2 linked regions of the Macaca fascicularis genome follow. Each later gene encodes a partner of the first gene's protein in a complex. Links are inferred from orthologs where the notes say so. Each region holds a gene or a part of one and is shown in the gene's direction. Other genes may lie near its edges.

Region 1 (4,268 bases):
AACATGGGACGTAAGTCAGGTTAACAACAACAACAAAAACAAAGTCAGAGGTTTATCAAGGTACATTATAGCTGGGTGTGAGAAAACACAAAGTCCTGCAGCTTAAAAGACCAGGAATCACTGGTGATCACAAGGAGCTACAGTGGCTTCATTCCCAGATTCTACCTATGCCCGCGATTTGGGTTTGCGGATTTCCCAGAACTCTCTGTTTACAAGACCTTGGCTGCAAGGAGGCAGTCAACAAGTGCAACTGATCACTCCAGTAGATGAGAAAAGAATGTACCCAGTTTGGTATCCCACATTCTGCCAACAAATGGAACATAAGTCACAAAACAGAATAAAATTCCTGAATCCCAATAAGAAAGAGAGGAAGAAAAAAGGGCAGGGAAGAGAAATGGAAGTAGAGAAGGAGTAACTAAAGTCATGAGAAGTCAGAGACATATCAGAACGGACTAGAGGGCGAGAAGGCAGGCTAGCACAAATTGACAGCAGAGGCTCCCCTTTACTGAAATGTACAGCGGCAGGCACCATGCTTAACTTTACATGCACTGACCCATTTAATCCTCTCACCAAGCCAGAGGTAGAAACTATTCTCATCTCCATTCCACTGGTGATGAAACCGGAGCGGCGTGAGGTACGGCACTTGCCCCAGCACAGAGCGAGGAAGATGCCGCTTTGACCTGCCCGGGTCTGACTCCAGGACACCCCATTCTTTAACCCTTACTACCTATTCTGCCTCCCAGGCCTTCAAATAGGGTTGGGAAAGGAGTCATTCGCTTATCCATTCATCGAACACTGAACACCAACTGGGTGAGTGTCAAGGCCTGGGGCCAGGCGCCGGTGGGCGGATGTAAGGGACGCGGGCTGCGAGTGGGGGACAGAACGCGACGTCAATCCTAAGGCGAAGGAGCACAGCCCGCGGCCAGACCGGCAGCCGGGGTGCAGGGTGGGACCGAGGGCACGGGGCGCGCCGCGGAGGCCTGAGGAGGGGCGGGCGGCCCCCGCTCCCCGCTGCGGACCGCCGGCTTCCGCGGGCGGCAAGCCAGGCGCTCAGTGTGTTGTGGCATTTAGTGTCCGCCACTCCGCGCGGGCGAGACCGCGGGCGAGGGAGGCAGGGCGGACGGGCATGGAGACCCTGCGGGGCTGAGGCAAGGGAAGAGTGGCCTGGGGGAGGCCGAGGAGGGGGCGAGGGGCCAGGCGTCGGGGGCGTCGGGGTCGCCTGCGGCGTCGCGGGACTCACCTCCCGCGGCAGCCCCTCCGGACTCGTCGGCCCCACCGGGCCGGAGGAGGCGGGGATGGACTCCGGGCCGCGGGGGCTGCCGGGAGCCCGTTCCCTGGGCAACGGGGCCGACACCGGGGCCAGCACCGAAGAGCGGCAGTTGGCTCCGCCAGGTGCTAGAGCGGCAGAGCCACAAGTGGTAGCGGGCGGGGCGGACGTGACGCAAATGCGTTTCCGGCGGGGGTGGGCGGGGCTTCGCCTCTCCTTCTAGGGATCTCTGCGGACCGCATGGAAGGTGCGTGAGATGGGTTCCTTTCCCGGGGCAGGGTGGCTGTGAATGTTACTGCTTGGGCCGCAGGTTGGGCCAGAAGCTGAGGAGCTCCCCGGATTAAATGAGGTTAAATGGAGGTCAGATGCCTTGCCCCAGCCTAGCCCGCAGGCCCCGCGCAGCCTCTGCTGGCTGCTCGGGAGACAGTTTTGCCGAGCCTCCGTTTTTTCACATGTGGAGTGACAGATGAACGGGACGATATACGCAAATGAGTGTCAGCAGATCAGACACCCAAATTGTAATTATTTTCACTATAAATTAGCACTAACAGAGTTCACTGGGTGCCAAGCCTTGCATGCTCAGCTCCTCCAGTAACTCCTCTCTGAACTGCCTTGTCAGAACATTCTGCTTGTAATGAAAGCTGGCTTTCGCCTAGTGCTCAGTCTGCTGAGTGCTGCTCCAAGTACTTTAAGTGAATCATCTCATTTGAACCTCACAGTGATCCCATGAAGTAATGTCAACCCCATTTTGCAGATGGGGAGTAGAGGCTCAGAGGGGATAAGTAACTTAGTCACTGTGCCCTCACCCTGCCCTGTCCTGTGACGCTGATGACTGGTCTGTCTTTACTGGCCCTTAAGTTTCTTGAAGTCAGTTATGTTTTTGGTTCCTAAATATGTGCCCAGTATGAGTCAGGCTGACCATAAATCAGATGTGGTCCTGCCCTCAGAATCTCCTGCTGGGGGAAAACCCTCAGACAGTTATAGAACAGGTGGTAAGAGCTATTCCTCCATTTACCTCATTTTATGCAAAGCTTCCTATGTGTGGAAGGTTTGAAAGAGAACAAGACATAGTTCCTACCCTAGTTGAATTCCCAGTTTAGCAGGGAATATAGACATTAAACAAGCAAATACACTCCACCGATGAATATCGTGATAGCAGAATTACAGGATGTTCCACATATCTACCCCCCAACTTGGGGGATCCAGGAATACTTCTCTGTGGAAATGACTTTCTAAAAACCTGAATCAGATAATTTCACTGCCCTACCCAGAGTTTATTGCTCACTCCCCATTGTATTAGGTTAGTGCAAAAGTAATGGCAGTTTTGGCCATTAAAAGTTGTGGCAAAACCTGTTACTTTTGCACCAGTCTAATACTTAGAATAAGTCCAAACTTCTTATCTTAAGCTATTAGGTTCTAGTTGTCTGATCACCTCCTCACCCACTAGTCCTTTTCTGTCCATTTCATTCCAGCACACTGGTTTTTGTTTGTTTGTTTTATTTTGTTTTGTTTTCTGTTTTTTGAACTCACCAACCTCATTCTCATAATTAGGGCACATACTACCGACCTACCCTTTTTCTGGCTTTTCATCATTCAGATCTCAGCCTGAATGATACCTTCTCAGGGGGTCACACTAACACAAGACCCTGTTTTATTTTCCACATACACTTACCATGATCGGAACTGATCGTGGCCATTTAAGCGTTTATTATCTGCCTCCCCTTTGGAAAGTAAGTTCCTTGAAAACGGTCCTGATCCATCTCATTCAATCACTTCATTCCCCCATGCCTGGCATATTGTAGACAGTAAGCAAATATTTGTTGTTTAAGTAAAGAATGAGTGATAAATCAATATGATATTTAAAAGTGAGGATACTAAGTATGAGGCAGGGGAGTGGGGACACACACAGATAGGAAAAACATTCCAGGTCAAAGTCAGAACTTGGACAGAGCCAGCTCTGAGGCACAGAGGGCAAGTGGGAAAGGGGGAAGCTGAAGGGATGGGCAGAGCTTGGATAGTAGAGGCCTTGAGCTAACAGGTGAGATACTGGGTTTTTGCCATGTGCCAGGCCTCACAGCTTCACATATATTATCTCATCTCAGCAATCCTATGAAGTAGATACTATTTTTATTCCCATTTTACAGATGAAAATGTTGAGGCTCTGAAAGGTACATTAACTTGCCCAAGATCTCACAGCTGGCAGAGCTGGGATTCAGACGCAGGCAGTGTGGTCTTCTGACTCGAGACGTCAAACCATCCAGCTGTTGTGTGTCCTGGATTCCTGAAGGGGACTTTATCCTGTGGGCCGTGAGAAGCCTTTGCGGGGTTCAAAGTAGAGAAGGCGAGAGGGCACCGGAGGGCTGGGGGAGAACAAACAACCTGAGTTGGCTCTTGGTGGTCTGGGGGTTGCTTCCCACAGGCAGTGGGATCCGGGTACATCTTGGAGGATAGGCGCCATGAGCCTGAGGAAGGAAGGCGCTTTCCTGCAGAGAGAACACGTGCAAAGGCCTGCAGGCACCTCAGCTTTTCAAGAGCTGCCAGTAGTTCATTTTCACTGGAGATTGACAGGGGGCCAATGTGTATGTGTGGGTTGATGTACGTGTTGATGCAGAGGGGTAGCTAGGTCTGGAAGGACTTTGGACTTCCTCCTGATTTCCAAGCAGGGCCGTGGCAGCATCGTGATCAACTCTGCATCTCTGTTGTCTCAGTGTCTTGAAATGATTAGCACTCATGAGCCATGCCACTCTGAACAAATTTAAAGTATCAGAGTGCCTGAGACTAGATAGTGGAAGTACTCAGGAGTCAGGGCTAGATAGATTATCCTGTAGGGAAGGTAACCGGAGCCATTGAAGAGTTTTAGCAGAAAGTCACAACTTTACCTTATTTCCAATCTTTGGAAAACAAAGGGCTTAAGGTAAAAATTTTGCGGAGCCATTAAGCTGGAAAAGGATTCAGCTATATCTGGTGAATCTTAAAATGTTAAAAATATTCTATGTAGGCT
Region 2 (4,267 bases), on another chromosome or scaffold:
GGGCACAGTGGCTGACTCCTGTAATCCCAGCACTTTGGGAGGCTGAGGCATGCAGATCACTTGAGGTCAGTAGTGCGAGACCAGCCTGGCCAACATGGTGAAGCCTCGTCTCTACTGAAAATACAAAAATCAGCAGGGCATAGTGGCAGGAGACCGTAATCCCAGCTACTCCGGAGGCTGAGGCAGGAGAATCACTTGAATACAGAAGGTGGAGGTTGCAGTGAGCCAAGATCGCACCACTGCACTGCACTCCAGCCTGGGTGACAGAGTGAGACTCTGTTCCAAAAAAATAAAATAAAATTCCTGATGTGTGAAAATTATGTGAAATTCACATTTCAGTGTATCCACAACTAAAATTTTATTGGAATACAGCCCATCCATGCCCATTCACTATAGCTGTTTTGGACCTGTAACAGCAGAGCTAAGTTGTCCGACAGAGACCCCTCCCACCGGCTCAAGTAGCCTAAAATATTTGCTACCTAGGCCTTTAGAGAAAAGGATGGAGACACATGACTTACGGAAGTGAGACAGAGAGTGAAAGGGTCTGCAATTTTCCATAAGTGGTCATGTCAGATTTCATTAAAAGGTGACATCTGAGCGAGTCCTTTCTGAAGGGTGTTACCTAACCCCACGGGGCTCCCGGCCTCCGCCCAGGGAAGCTCTCCAGCTCTTACCGAAGTAGTCAAGCCAGTTCATCTGGCGCAGCGCCTTGGGGAGCCGCAGGATCTCGATGTTGTAGAGGTTATCCACCTCCTTGAGGAGGTTCTGCCTGTCTGACTCAATTTGCTTGATTCGTATTTCCACTGCGGGAGGGCAGAGCCGACAGGACACGGGTCACGGGGCGGGTGAATGTGTGCAGCTCGTGTCCCCACCCGCCAGCATCCCGCGACCGCCCCAGGAGGCCGCGACGGCCTGGCCCCTTTACCTTCACGGTCGAAGTCTTTCAGAAAGGAGGCGAGCTTCCGCCTCCGTAAGGAGTTGATCTTGGCCACCCGACTACTGCCCTTCCTAGGAGCCATGGCGCTCGGCGGAGGCTGCGGGGAGCGGCGGAGATGGGGCAGGGAGGCAAGGAACCAGGTAGGGACCAGGAGGGCGGATGGGGACCACCCGAATAAGTCGCCAGGCACGTACCTCCGGTCTCGCGACAAGGACTGAGTAAAACCTCGCTATGCCAGTGAGAGAGAGCGGCTCTACCGTCAACCGCCACCTAATTCAAACTCCACAGCCACAGGCTGACGAATGAGAAACCGCCGTCCCACAGTATCCAATCACAAGCAAGTTCCTACCTGCCCGGGGTCTCCCGCCCAATGCGCTCCCTATAGCCGGAGTGCGTCAGCGCGGGCGCCGCCGTCGCGGGTGCTCCTGGGAGTTGTGGTCCAGGCTTGTTTCCCCGCCCTCCCCACCAACCCACCCGGCTCCGCCCTGGCCGGCTGCAAACTATACAAACTGCGACTCCCGGCAGGCCTTGCGGCGGGTCCTCATTACCCCAATCTTTGAAGGGCTAGGAGCGGACTAGGTCAGGTCGGCTGTAGGATTCTGCTCCGGGGCCGGCGGCTGCTTCTTCCAGGCCTGGCTGCCACTGAGTAGCCGAGGGGCCGCCGTGACACTCTGACTGATTGACTGGTTGGCTGCCTACGTCGGCGCTCCTCAGGGCCCCAAGCTCCCCAGGCCGAACTTGGGGCAAGTGGAGGGTCGGCGGAGACAGAGCAGCCCCGACAGGGTTTGGAAGGGGTCGAGGCGGAATGACAGGGGAGCGGGGCCGGGGTGCAGGCTTTGGGGTGGGCGCGCCAGCCCGTGGCCAGTTTGGGCAGCGAGTGGGGAGAACCCTCTTGTTCCTCGCTTGCCCGCGGGCCGGCCACTCCCGTCCAGTTCGCGTCTTGGCGCCTCGACTGGGTGTGCAGCGCGGGGCCGCGACTTCAGGTGCGAGTAGTGGCGCTTGGCAGCTGCCCACGCGGTGACTGCAGCGTGAGCCGCGGCCACCACACTCCAGGGAGCCCAGGGCAGGAGGCAGCTCTGGGTGTTCTGGCCGTGGGCCTGGGAATGGGCGTGTAGACCTCGAACCCCGCTGAGCCGCAGTCCTGTCGGAAGTGCTAACTGTGCATCTTTGCATCTGCCCACAGCCACAGGGTTGGATTGCTCAAGGGTTGTGCTGAGACCCAGCAAGGCTAGAGGCTAGTTTCGAAGCTGTAGCTCAGGCTGAGTCTCAAGGCGGGCGACGACTGGACGGCCAGACCGGCGAGCTCTTGACAGGTTTGTGGCCTGATTGTTTGGATTTGGTGCTTTTCACCTGTGGATGCGGAATGAAGCCATGTCAGAGGGGTTGTTTGTGTTTAAGCGTGCATGTTATAGGCTATGGGAGTGATAATCTTGCCTCTCCCCCTCTGAGTTCAGGAACAATCAAAGAAATAAGCAAAGGTGCCAAGCAGGCTCCTGATGGGCACCAGCGAGCTTGGGGACAGAGCAGTCCAAGCATAGAAACCCTGGCAAGCCTGGCCCTTCCTAGAAAGTCCTTTCTCTCTCTCTTCCACCCTGGTTTGTTGCTCCATATACAAAAAATATTTGAATGTCGCTCTTCCGCCCAAGGTCAGCCCTGGGCAGTGGGTGGTGGGGGTGACACCCGAGTCTGCTGGGTGCCTAAGGATCTCCATCAGTTAGATGGCCAAGATGAGAGGGGACGACAACCCGTACCTCATGTAGGCTTTCCCGCAGCAGGTGTTTTTATGATGGGCAAATTGGGCTTCCAGCCTCTCGGTTTCAGGGTTTCCTTCACCCGACTCCCCAATGTGCCCGACCTCCCTGGGCACCTAGGATGTCCACCTGCATCTCAGCGAGAGCTGCCACGTCAGGAGCCCGTGATTCACTAGTTTTTGCCAGTTGGTTGTGATACACAATGTCAAAAGTGTCATTAAGGCACAGCCGAAGGCGCAAGCTGAGAGGAAAAGACTCCACAGTTAAGAGGACATGCCACCACTGCCACCCAATTTAAACTGCCGCAGGCTGACAAATGAGAAGTCGCCGTGTTTGGACGGTCCCAACATCCAGTCCCAAGGAAGCTTCAAGCCGAGTGGCCAATCCACATGTTGGACTACAGTACCCAGAAGTAATTTCGGTACTATGATATATTTTCGCGACTCAATAGCCTTGCAGGCCTGCGGAGGAGCTTTGGGGGCGGTCGCCTGTGAGCATGCGCAGAGAGACTATGGGCGCGTGGTGCTCACGCTTTGGGTGTCTTGACTTTTAAGTTTTTCCGCTGGTTTCAGGAACGCGACCGGCAGCCTCGGGCAGGGGAGACAGGACTGTAGGTCAGAGAAGAGACGGCGATTGGCCGCCGGGAATCCTCTGAAGCAGGAGACTGCCCTATCCAGGTTACCCTTCCCAAGGGGAAGCCAGGATCTCCTTCAGAAAGCTGAGGCAGGGCCGGGGCTGGTGGCTCACGCCTGTAATCCCAGCACTTTGGGATACCGAGACGGGCGGAAAACCTGAGGTCAGGAGTTCAAGACCAGCCTGGCCAACATGGCGAAACCCTGTCTCTACTAAAAATACAAAAATTAGCCGGGCGTGGTGGCGGGCACCTGTATTCCCAGCTACTCGGGAGGCTGAGACAGGAGAATTGCTTGAACCTGGGATGCAGAGGTTGGAGTGAGCCGAGATAGCGCTACTGCACTCCAGCCTGGGCGACAGAGTGAAATTCCGTGTCGAAAAAAACAAAAACAAAAAAAACCACTTCTGGAGGTGAGACAACTCCTGTGTGAACACGAGGACGGAAATGACGCCCACCCTCGACCCAGTGCCTCCCGGACTGACTTGCCACCCCAACGTGGTTATTTTCTATTTTTATCTTTTTCAGCAGAAGATGACTCAAGACCGGCCTCTGCTTGCCGTGCAGGAGGCCCTGAAGAAGTGCTTCCTGGTGGTGGAGGAGCAGCAGGGCCTGTGGCAGAGTGCCCTGCAGGACTGCCAGCCCCTCCTGTCTTCCCTCAGCAACCTGGCGGAGCAGCTGCAGGCCGCACAGAACCTGCGGTTCGAGGATGTGCCGGCGCTTCGGGCCTTCCCAGACTTAAAAGAGCGGCTGAGGCGCAAGCAGCTGGCTGCTGGTGACATCGTCCTGGACAAGCTAGGGGAAAGGCTGTAAGCAGCTCCATAGTGCTCTTTCCTGGTGGAAGGATTTTAAAACGAGGTGTTTTATATGTAGCTAGTATCAGTCCAGAAGGTGTTTTTCTCCTTGAAAGCGTGGCATTTGGAGGTATCTCAACCTTCCTCACTTACC

What was found.
Region 2: the proteins of CINP (region 1) and AIRIM are in contact, whole or in part, in a cryo-EM structure (PDB 8RHN), measured with the Homo sapiens proteins. The link is inferred for Macaca fascicularis from reciprocal best matches to the Homo sapiens genes CINP and AIRIM. Residues at the interface, in NP_116019.1 of Homo sapiens: Leu161, Leu162, Thr165, Glu169, Asp177, Leu178, Leu180, Ser181, Tyr182, Ser184, Met185, His188, Pro190, Tyr191, Val192, Glu193, Ser194; in NP_001289959.1 of Homo sapiens: Leu107, Gln110, Ala113, Ala114, Asn116, Leu117, Phe119, Val122, Ala124, Leu125, Phe128, Pro129, Asp130, Leu131, Arg134, Leu135, Lys138, Gln139, Ala142.

The regions. Positions count from the first base shown.
Region 1 is NC_088381.1:170,474,476-170,478,743, reverse strand, and holds the start of CINP (cyclin-dependent kinase 2-interacting protein), read left to right. Parts: upstream 1-1,468; 5' UTR 1,469-1,507; coding exon 1,508-1,514; intron 1,515-4,268. UniProt on the Homo sapiens protein: Component of the DNA replication complex, which interacts with two kinases, CDK2 and CDC7, thereby providing a functional and physical link between CDK2 and CDC7 during firing of the origins of replication.
Region 2 is NC_088375.1:197,229,379-197,233,645, forward strand, and holds the start of AIRIM (AFG2-interacting ribosome maturation factor), read left to right. Parts: upstream 1-1,467; 5' UTR 1,468-1,680; exon of another isoform or gene 1,681-1,920; intron 1,921-2,119; exon of another isoform or gene 2,120-2,120; 5' UTR 2,121-2,250; intron 2,251-2,744; exon of another isoform or gene 2,745-2,808; 5' UTR 2,809-3,004; coding exon 3,005-3,109; intron 3,110-3,180; exon of another isoform or gene 3,181-3,732; intron 3,733-3,847; coding exon 3,848-4,128; intron 4,129-4,267. Other genes in the region: CDCA8 (borealin), read right to left, coding at 675-803, 926-1,019. UniProt on the Homo sapiens protein: Part of the 55LCC heterohexameric ATPase complex which is chromatin-associated and promotes replisome proteostasis to maintain replication fork progression and genome stability.